2 linked regions of the Drosophila melanogaster genome follow. The protein of the gene in region 1 binds, or shares a complex with, the protein of each later gene. Each region holds a gene or a part of one and is shown in the gene's direction. Other genes may lie near its edges.

Region 1 (5,771 bases):
ATCAGTTACATAGTACCTCCCGTAACTCCAGAAGTGTTATCCATCAAAATTACTATCGATGGGTAAAGTAATACTTTATAATACTATATCATATATATCAGGTATATCCCCTTACCTTGCCGGCCGCCTTGATGTAGCGTCGCGTGGCCTCCTTGACGAGATCGCGGACGAGGAGTTCGCCGGAACCACAGGGAACCAGAATGCGAACGTCGCCGAAGCAGACGGTGACCTTCATTTCGTACTTTTCGTGTTAACAATAACTATTATCGTCTTCGATCTGCGATAATAAGTATGTATTTTTGACTGCTGCAATGCACTTTTTATTTTGCACACACATATATGCACTTGATTAAATTGGGCGATCGTTTCTTTAACTTATTTTTTTCTCGAATTTTTCGGATTTTTTCCTATTACTATTTTGTATGCAGCTACTTTTTTTTAACGCTATGCTCGTCTGCCTGCAGCAGCTTTTTGTTGTTCTTGTTGCTGTTGTTGTTACGACCGCATCATCATCATCGTCGTCGCTTTCCAGCTATCGCCATCCTTGTTGCTCCTTTCGCGTGCACAGTGCGCTTGTTGTTGCTGTATTGTTGGTTGTTAGGCAGCTGCAACAAAAGTTGGTCTAGGGCGGCATGGGTGCGAGCGAGATGGCTGCGTGCCTGGAAAAAGGATCGGGATCGCTTTCCAGTATGTACTTGTAGTCGCTCTCGCGCGCTCTCCCTCTCTGTCGCTCTCTGGAAACTGGAACTCTCTTTTGCTATTTACTTAGCATATTTCACCGTAAGGCATCGTTGTTATTGTTTGTTTTGTTGTGTTTGTGTGATTCATACACGCGCGCATTAAAAAAAACGAGTTACAACAACGGCAACCATAATAACAAGAACAACAAACAGCGGGCCAAGATCATTTATTTACTTCTTTTTTTAACGTTCTTCGCTCTCGCTCGCAAACTTGGCATTTGTTTTGGTCAAATTATTATATATTATGCGCTGTAGATTGCATGGTTTTAAATTTACGGTTCGATCATCGTTTTTATATCTTTTCTGTTACTCTCTTTTAACGTTGCTTTTGTCGTGTTTTTCGTTTTCGGTTATCTCCTTTTTCGCCCGTTGGCGTCGCTTCTTTCTTGTTGTTTATCACTTTCAACTATTCATATTTCGATTGCAAGTGGAATAGTATCGTTGACCGCCACTCTTATTAACGAACTATTTGAACTCAAAAAAATGCAAAAAAAATCCACGAGCAGCGCGTTGATTACTGCGCTTCGAGTTCGAATTCGCCCTGGCGAGCAACAACAAATGACCAAAATTCTGGGGATGGCAGGCTCATCGATACTATCGGAACAGCAGCTTGGCTTCTTCGCGGTATTTGGTTATACTTTACTGGGCGGTCACACTACTGCTCGTTATCTCCCGCTTATTTTAAAATCAGGGATTGGGCTAAATGCCATCTAATTCTGCAATAAGTTTTATTGAATTTGCATTGCTTTATATAAGTCAGCCTATTAAATAGAGATATTGATTAAGAGGTAATTAATCGTCTTAAAATATTAAAGTGTAAAGATGAAAATATTTCTTATGTAAGCTATGTATAAATATAAAATACTAGGAACAACCAATTTCGATAGGATTAATTGTATAGTCCTAAGAACGACAGATAGTGTTATCAAGATCGAGGAGTTTGAATCGAGAGCTTAAAAGAGAATAAAAAGAACTTAAAAAGATTGCTACACCTATATATATATTCATATATATATAAGATAATATAAGAAGATGTTCGATTTCATTCAACAGTTTAAGGAACGCCCCAAGCATTTCCTAATTTCCTAAGAATATATGTTTACCAACTCCTGTTAACATTTTATTTATTAGGCAAATACATTCATCTCGAATGTAAAACATTAAAATTTTCAATTAAACCTGAACGATATTGTGTGGGTGGGATAGCCATTGCGGTATTTTTTTCGCGCCATTTTCAGATTTGCGTTATCGATTACCGGCAATCGCTTGACGGCAATATTGTAACAACAAAGCACACATTCGCTCTCATTCAGCTAAAAAAGAAACTAAAAACCTTAAACTATATTCGATCGATGGCAGAACCCCGTCCCGGCGGCTACAACTACAAGACATTATTGTGAGTAAAAGTTCGTTCATCAAAGGCAGAGCGATGTCAACTATAGTTCCATACGAATCCCCAGATGCAGAAACATTCCGGAGCTATTTTTGGACAAATATGTGGCGCGTTCGCACTTTGGACGTTTTGGAACCCTCGTAAACTTCGTCCTGCGTCCGCGGCGAATGACCTGCACCGTAAGCTATGCCAGCGAGGACGAGGCGGCGCGGGCGCTTCTCGATGGCGCCAGCTTTCAGGGTCACCTGTTTGATATATCCTATGCTGATAACGAGACGGCGCCGGCACAGAAAACGGAGGAGTGGGTGGATCCTGACATTCAGGCGGAGTTGAGTGCACTGCAGTCGGGCTGGCGCAATGAGTATGGGTCGGGCAAGCCGATAAAAAAACCACAAAATGGCAGCAGTGGTAGCGGTGGCAGTTCAATGCTGCCTGCCATACCAGTTGGGCCCGCAACGGCGCCGGTGAGCAGAGATCGTACGCCTGCCCAGCTCAGGGATCTTGAGAACATGATGCGCAGACCCGCCCATACAAGCGAGGAGAAGTTCAGCGTGCTGGATGCCCGCGATAAGCTGCTCCGGTTGAACCGAACGCAACACAAGCTGTCCGGTGCCACCCAGGGTCACTGCGCCGATATGTGTCCGGAAAAGGAGCGCGTGCTGAGAGAATTCCAGCGCCAGGTAGCCTACTATGAACTACAACCGGGCTCCGATGAGCTAATCTGTCACGAAAGAGCCCTGAAGCAGTACTCGCGCAGCAGTGCCGACCAGGAGACGCCACTGCCGCATGAACTGCGCAATGAGACTGCCCTGCACATGACCATGAGCTATCTAATGCATGAGATCATGGACATTAGCGAGCGCCAGGATCCGCAAAGCCATATGGGCGATTGGTTCCACTTCGTTTGGGATCGCACGAGGTCCATCCGAAAGGAGATCACCCAGCAGGAGCTATGCTCTCTGGGCGCTGTGAAGCTGGTGGAGCAGTGCGCCCGGTTTCACATTCATTGCGCCGCCCGTCTGGTTGACGCCGATCCCAGCGTCTTTGACAGCAAGATCAACGCCGAGAATCTAACCAAATGCCTGCAGACTCTGAAGTACATGTACCATGACCTGCGGATTAAGGGCGTTCCATGTCCCAAAGAGGCGGAATTCCGGGGCTACATTGTGTTGCTCAATCTGGCCGATGCCAACTTTCTCTGGGACATCGGTCAGCTGCCCGCGGAACTGCAGAGTTGTCCCGAAGTGCGTCAAGCCATTCAGTTCTACTTGGCCCTGCAGGACACGAATTTTGTGCGGTTCTTTCAGCTGCTGGCTGACAAGGATACCAGCTACCTGAGTGCCTGCATCCTAGTCAATTACTTTACGCGACTGCGCGTGCTGGGGTTGCATCGTCTGATCCAGGCGTATAGGTCTCCGCGGAAGGATGAGGTGTCTTCGCTGCCTCTCAGCTACATCGCCGAGCTGCTGAGCTTTGCCAGCGAACAGGAGGCGGCGGATTTTGTCCAACACTATGGCCTGCAGATCAACGAGGCGGGCAGAGTTGTGCTAAGCAGAATGCACACGGTGGAGACGGAGTACAAGCTGCCGCGACAGTATGAGGTAAGTAAATGGTTTTCTTTTTTTTGTTTTATTAATTTGATTTTTATTATCCACTTCCAGTTGGTGGAAGTGAAACGCGTGAAGAGCGTGGGCGAAGTCGTCAGTGGGGAACCTTTACCACCACGAGACCTCTACCTCAATCACCGACCGCACAATAGCTTCGACGATTATGGAATGCTTAAGAGCATTGCATGGACGGCCAAGGATCAGCTGGCTGGCATGCAGCAAGAGGAGATGCAGCCACAAATGCCTTCGCAGCCACCAGCAGTCTCAAAACATAGCGATACTTTGTTTAAGGTGCCCATGCAACCCGACGGAACGGCAGCAGGGTTTGGAGTATTTGCTGCGGCTGCTGTTCCGCCAGCCTCCTCCATCGATGGATTCAGTTTTGTTCTTCCCAAATCACGTGCTCAGGAGTTCCAGGAACAAGCTCCGGCTACACAGCAGCGACGGGCACAAGAAGAGGCCAAGCATCAGGCCCTCCAAGTAGCCATTGCCGCTGCAAAGAAGCGGGAAGCTGAGCTAATGGCTATTCACGAGGCCAAAGTGGCCGAGGCTGAGCGAGTGCGTCAGCAGAAACTCAGGGAACGCCAGGAGCAGCAGCGTCGCCAGCAGCAGGAACTGGAGGAACAACGCCAGCGGGAGCAGGAGAAACTTCAGCTGGAAAAAGAGAGGCAACTGAAACTGGAACAGTTGTTTTTTGTGCAGCAGCAGGAAAGGGAGGCCCACAAACAGACCAGGACTTTGGAGTTGTATCAGGAAATATTCCAGGACACCCTCGCGGAGATTTGCCAAAGCGAGTTTATGTCGCATAGTCGGGCTTGCCGTTCCTACGAATCCATGCTGGACTCAATAACACGCGATCTCGTCGAGCGGCAGATGGAGCAATCCATCTACGAACTAGGCGTCATGAGGGTGTGCATCAGACGATGGCGGAAATATCGGCGAACGCAACAGGAGAAGGACACGCTATTTAACCAACTGCCTTTAAGTTTTGGAGCCGAAAACCCCGAAGGAGTGGTGAACAAACGAAGCATGGAAGATTCACTGCGTCTAAGCAGACGCTATCGACTTGGCGAGCCCTGCGATTATGGCAAACTTCTGGCTGGCCTGGAGGAGCATAGTTGGCTGAAACTGGATCTGTGGCACGTTTTGGACAAGTGTCTGCCGGTAGCGCAACCAGGAGCTAGACGCTTCTACAAGCTATTGATAAGCCTGTCCGGCGGCCAGGAGGGTCTCCAGTTGAACTGCGATTTGGATAGGGGACTACTGCAGCAGCCACAGTCGCCGGATGCTCGTTTTGTGGATGGAGGCTACATCAGAGGCTTCTCTCAGGGTATTGGCTTGAGTGTGATGAAGATCCGAGATGATGACCACGACTGGAAAGCCACCGACCTGGCCGAAGCCAATGGTATTATTTGCTTAATCGGGCTGGATGACATTCGTTTACTGCCGGATCGCTTGAAACCATTGCTGCAAGCAAGCCGCTGTCATGATGTGGCTGTAATTGTTCAGCATCCAGCTAATACCGCCTTTGTTCAACCTGATATTCCTCTCCAGGAACTATGTCTGCGCTCATTTAACATCTTTCGTTTGCGAAAATCTGGAAACAACCGCCAGCGCTTAATGATTGCACTGGAATCGGCTGTAAAGTTTTTGGCCAAAGCCACGGAAAGGAAACGTGTTGGACATCTTCACCAAGTGGAGACCCGCGAGTATTTGCTCGTTAATCTGGGATCGGAACTATTTCGCCGCCTAAAATACGCCGCTGAGCACGATACGGCCATTAGAAGCGACACTCAGCTGAATCCACAGCGTTGTGTGGACCTTTTTAACGAGGCAGTGCACCGCCTGCAATTGGTAGCCGGCGAGGATTTAAGCGACTGGCCCCAGTTTCCCGAGGAGCTGCGTGTCTTTGTGCAGCCACTGCCCATCGAATCATCACTAAACACCAATCGCTTGGAGCACTTTGAACCCGGTTGGCACTTGCCCGAGCGACGTCAGCGTATTGTCCAGCTTTTGGAGCGCTGTAAACTT
Region 2 (5,771 bases), on another chromosome or scaffold:
AGCACCTAGAACGTGGGCAACCAGTGATTATAACAGACACTGGACTGCAAACGGATGTTTTTAGTCTCCTAGAGCAAATAGAGAAGAAGTCACCTCAGTGGCTAACCAGTGAACCTTGTGATGTTTCCAGCAATCTGTTGCTGAGGAAACTTTTTAACCTAGAGGCGGCTCTGGATAAGATTCATTCCTGGCAGGGACAGACATCGAATTCTTGGCACCTTCAACTGAGGAACTGCCAGAAGAAGGCGGTGAAGTCCTCTCGGCTTTTTCTGGATCGTCCCTACTACTACCCACTTCACCTGGCCCCGTATTACTCCAGCTGGCTATTGGCAGTCCATCAGCAAAAGCGAAACCAAGCCGATATATACGTGCGTGGCCTAGTGCTCATCCAGCAACTGAGTGGCCACTTTGAGATGGTTCTCCATCCAAAGAAGCCCTGCAATAAAGGAATATGTCCAAGCTTGCGGATGCGACTGAATGCAGGAGAAGGTCTGATCTTTACCACGGATATCTGGAGCCTAAGTTATGGTCTGGAGAAACCCCACGGAAAGCTGACCTCCCTGGCTAGCATTTTCGAGATAGACTGGCAGCCGTAGAGTGTTTTAGTTAGCCGAAATTGTATTTACACACCCAACTAGATACAGACGAATCGAAGCCTAAAGTTATCGAAATTTACTGGGAGGGAACAGATTCATCTTAGGCCCGGCGGCACTTGGCCTCCACCAACTTTTGCAGCGTGCCCGTCAGGCTGTTGATGGCATCGATCTTCATGCGCTCAATCCGCTCCTGCTGCACCAGTGACATTTTTTGGATCTGCACCTGTTCGCGCTGCAAACTCCGTTGTAGCTCTATCTTCTCCCGCTCCACTTCCAGTTTTCTTTCAAAGTAGTCCTTCCACCAGATGTCATCGGGGATGCCAGAAGCTTGGTGCGAGCCCATGGGTCGTGCCAGATCGTAGAGCTTGCCATTAACTTCCAGATGTTGGCTGCTATCGTTTGTACGTTCAGCCTCCGCAACTTGATCGCCATCGTACTCCATCTTGGGTTGACGGACTACCTCCGACATGCTGTTGCTATCCTCATCGAACTCATCGTTGGACTTGCTGTCCAGATTCATCTGGGCCTGCAGCAGGACCTGATCCACAGGTGTAATATACGGCTGGCTGTCCTTGGCCGCAGTCTGGGGTGGAAGTTGCACCTGCATTTGGGGTGTTCCCGGCTTTAGGCTCACCGGAGTAGGTTGAAGCTGTAAAGGTTGCTGGGGAATACCCGGATTCGGGTTTTGCCCATTAGCCGAATGTGGAGCTTGTGGCGCATTTGAAGTCTGTTGTGGCAACTGCATATCAAAGTCAGCCTTCTTGCCCTGCAGATACTTGAACATCTCCTCGAAGAACTCCCAGTGCACATAGCCGGATACGTATTTTTTGTTCAGATTCTTGTTGTAGGTGATGAGGATGTTATGCCACTTCTTCTGCACCTTTGCGGCGGAGTAGCGAAATCCCAGTCGCTGTAGTTGCCGGGTGCAGTGCAGCCAAAGAGCAGTCCGTTTTTGTCTGTAAGGGAGTTACTTTTACAAAGATGTCTTTACGGTGGAATAAAAACCTTGCTCACCTGCCCTCTGTAAAGCTACCCTCCATGGGACCGCGTATGTGAATCAATGCCCTGGTGGCCTCTGTGGTCCAAGCACGCTCGTAAGGACCACGTCCCACATTATTGCCTGCCCCTGAGGTATCTGCCTCCTCGAGCAAGCAATCATCATCCAGGTCATCCAAATCATCGTCACTTATTTGATAGGCTATGGAAATAAAAGAAATAAGTTACCTTTAATTATTGTCCTTGTTTTGAATAATATAAAAGCTTACAGATTATAATAATTATATTTGATACCCCTTTATACACTACGAAATTAACTAACGAAATCGAGGTAGTTCTAGCCTTATCTGATTTAGCTTAAGTTCAAAAACTTGTTGCTTTTGGGCAGCAGTGGCATCTCTGGCGCTCTCGCAGCATCCTTTCAGACATTTCTCTCTCTTTGTTATCCTGCTCTCATGCTCGCTCTCCCGTTTAAGTTATCACCCAACGCCAGGCCAAAAAGCATCCTAGCTATGTCAAAGATGCTAGCTGCTGCTGACATACACCTTTATGATACATACATATATACCTACATATATCCTGATACATGACACACACTATGTGCGTAGGTATGCACATATGTCCTTCCACTAGGACTGTGCAGACCAACACTTGTGCACTTTCCGGGCAATCACTCAATTTTCTATTATGATTTCACAATTGCCAATCGGCAGACTTACGTTCATTATCCTCGACATTATTTCCGTTGCTAGGGGCTTGCCCATTTCCTGCGTTGAGCTGAACTTGAGCCATTGCGGCTATCAGACTTTTGAAGTCCAATCTGCCTTTTCTGCCAGAATATGAGCAATTTTAGACCTTTCGCCTGTCAATAGTTTTCTCGTACTAACAGGACAATTTTCGGGCTGCAGCTTCCAGGCGCCGTGAACGTGAACTTCGAGTGCGCCTACTCTCTCGCGCCTTCTCCGCTCCTCTCTCGCTCGCTCTTAGATCTGGAAAAGATGGGAGGCTGCGGCTAGCCGAGGAGTAGTGGTATTAGTTTCCAAGAAATGGGCCTCTAGAATGGCGTGGTTGGGTGGCTGGGCGGTGCAGTGGGCGCCGGAGTGCAGCATCTGCGCACTTTGCACTCTGACTTCGCAGGTCTGTTAGCCGCAGCCACAGCCTCACTGGAATGGCTTTATGTGATTGGAAAGTCTAACCTAAATAGTTCTAGTCCGGCTGGATTGGAAGGCTATTTATGAAATATTTGGGAAATATCAAGATCTGAATGCTAAATGCATGTGTCAAGTTATGATTGAAGGGCCACATGCGAACGTCTATATTTGAAACCTATAAAATAGGTTTCTAAACCTATTCGCGTGAAATATATACCAATTTAACTGTAATGCTACAATAATAGATAAATAATGGGGCGCACACGTGCTTTCCATGTATATTTTATTTGTATAAATCTATAAGCGATCATCAGATCTAAGATGTCATACCTTGATTTAAGTAAGATTTAGTAAGCTAAAGAAAATGTATAAAGTACTGTATCACAATTTTCTAACTGGCTTTTTAAAACAAGAACTATCGTTTTATCGATACACCTTCGGTGTTACCAGCTGATTGTCCCGGCATTTTATTGTGCTAGGTGGCAACTCCAACGCCGCGAATTTGCGCGTGGAACAGAATACATTTGTTATTAAATAATTTTTTATTGTAGTTGTTAAGAGACAGAGCCTAGACAATGCCTGCGGTGGAAAAGAGCGTGATGTGAGTATCGGCAGTGCGACAATATTGAATGACTAAATAAAATCCTTCGATTTGCCATGTAGCACCGATTGGAAGCGCCTGTGGCCGATGGTCTCAGGAATCCACTATGAGACGCCGCAGGATACTGTACGTGAGGAGCTGATGAACGTGGCTTCTGAATTGCAGGCTGGAGTGCTCCAATTTAAGCCCAAGAATGCCTCCAGCCTCGAGCTGGGCACGTTGCTCAAAGAGAAAAAGCAGGAAAAGCTGCTGCCCTTCACCGAACGACTGCAGGATCTGTTGGATCTAGAATCCGCCCAGTGCTGGGAAATCCTTTGCTACTACCTTACGCAGGAGTACCGTGGATCGGCGAGTCTCCTTACCCAACTAATCTCTACCGAAACGAATATGGCCAAACTGCACGAAGACATACGGCATTACTACTCCCTGGAACGCATGGTTGTCCTCAAGATTGTTAAGAATCTTATCGTCTTTCACCAGGTACCGAATCATCCCTATCACCGGGAGTATCGCGCCGTGGTCGAAAAGATAACCATCCCCCGCCTTAGAGATTCATACCTAGACCAACTGGAGAGCCTTATTTGCGAAGTCCCACCCAGAAAGCTAATGGCGGGAGAATGCTTCCACTCTGCGGAACGCTTAGTTGCCTGGTCGGAGCGAAATGCTCGTGAGATCAACGAGGTGCTGCACATCCTTCTGGTGCTAGCGGAACACCTGCCCATGGGGTTGGAGCAGATAAAGAGAATATTTGCCGCCTGCAAGCAACACTCCTTTGGAAAGATGCAAAGTTATCTGGATGACAGCCAACCTTACCATCAGGAGATTATTCGAAGCCTTTCTTACTCAGAGCTAATGTTAGTTTTAAAGTGCCTCGACTTTGAGAAGCCCGAGAAGCATTCCGATCTAATTGAAAAGCTTATAGAGGATCTGCAGGTTGATATTGCCAGCATGTACCACAGACCAGAGCATGGCCCTTTGCTCCTAGCGTGGATGCTGCTTCGCTTGCGAGGCACCAACGATGCCGACGATGCCTCCAGCTTGCTCCGCTGTCGGCAGCTGGGCAAGCGAGCCGTGGATCTTAAGTGTTTTGTCCAACTGCACCTAATTGCCAGACATTCTATGTACGCCGATGACTCTATGCTGTCACGGATTGTGCGAAGAACCATATACAACCAGGTTGGATATCTGTGCGACCTCTTCGACGGCGATGGCAGCTGCGCTCGGTATGAGGGCATTTACGAATTGCTCTGCGAACTTGTCTCATGGCCACACTTAGCTAAAGACTTTTGCAGTCGGGAAGGTCAGTATCATATAATCAAAAGAGCTTAACCGAAAAAATTAGTTTAGAACGAACAACTTTACATTTATCTAGATGATGGTCCGTGTTCGCTGTACAAAACTCTTTTAGAGAACTTCCCTCTAGAATTAACACATCTGTCCAAACTGGCACTGTCACTGACAAAAGCGGGACAAGGCAACTATGTAAGCCAATACTTGTACACTCAAAGGCATCAGTTAAAATTATTTTAACAATCTTGCAGGTCAAGAGCCAACTAGAGGCTTTGCCCATATTGGCTCTTCGTTACGACGAAAGTCAGCACAAACTCAGAGAAGTGGACACAAATGAATTCGAGCTCCTGGCCAGCGTGCAACCATTTCAGCAAATTGATTTTACCATACCCGCAGGAACTAGTTGCACAGCCATCCAACATCCGTCCGGCTGCTTTATGCACTTTCGTTTCCCGGTAAACTACTTTGACGCGCTGCACCACGAAATTAACTGCCTGCTACGCGAGACGGGTCACCTGCATGGTGACTTTGAATCGAGCGAACGCATACGCAATGTAGAAGCTGGTTTAAGATTTTTGGAAAGTGCCGTTAAGCTCAGTCAATCGATATCCGGCATCAGCGCCGAAATGGTGCATCCTACCGAGATGTGCGTTGATCTGCTGCACACGTTCAAAAGCGTTCAATACCCACCGGTTGGACTTTTGTCTAGCTGTCTCAATGTTTGCACTGCGCTGCTGCCGTTGGTAGACGAGGAAATCTTTTCGCGGATAAGCAACCTACACATCTTGCCAACAGTAAGCCCGGGATCTCACTACGACTTCAAGATGTATGCCAATGCCAATGGAGTGGGCTTTGAGTCGCGCTTTTTAGGCTCCGTCATTGATAATGTGGAGAAGAAAAGGGAGCGCTACGAATTCTTGCTTTCATACATTGGGTTCCTGCGAGCGTACTCCAACCTGAAACGGAATCGCCAAATCCAGATGGAGATTCCCGGCCTTATATTCCTGTTAAAGGATGTTTTCCCGCACTTGCACACCTGGCACTTTAGCTCTCAAGTGGAGAGAAACAAGATCTACTTCGAGATTCTTAGCTTTATATGCGACATCCTGGACTTGTTTAACACTGCTAAAGAATCTA

What was found. Proteins that work in one complex are often made in the same cells at the same time.
Region 2: xmas (region 1) and Nup188 share a complex: the UniProt entries of both Drosophila melanogaster proteins name them as parts of the nuclear pore complex.

Annotation. Positions count from the first base shown.
Region 1 is NC_004354.4:17,155,536-17,161,306, reverse strand, and holds the start of xmas (xmas), read left to right. Parts: upstream 1-2,000; 5' UTR 2,001-2,092; coding exon 2,093-2,136; intron 2,137-2,200; coding exon 2,201-3,734; intron 3,735-3,794; coding exon 3,795-5,771. UniProt on the Drosophila melanogaster protein: Involved in mRNA export and mRNA coupled transcription activation.
Region 2 is NT_033778.4:12,683,620-12,689,390, reverse strand, and holds the start of Nup188 (nucleoporin 188kDa), read left to right. Parts: upstream 1-3,211; 5' UTR 3,212-3,318; coding exon 3,319-3,344; intron 3,345-3,406; coding exon 3,407-4,644; intron 4,645-4,716; coding exon 4,717-4,826; intron 4,827-4,885; coding exon 4,886-5,771. Other genes in the region: CG30053 (uncharacterized protein), read left to right, coding at 1-596; CG13148 (uncharacterized protein), read right to left, coding at 697-1,552, 1,611-1,794, 2,312-2,384. UniProt on the Drosophila melanogaster protein: Component of the nuclear pore complex (NPC), a complex required for the trafficking across the nuclear envelope. Required for proper protein transport into the nucleus.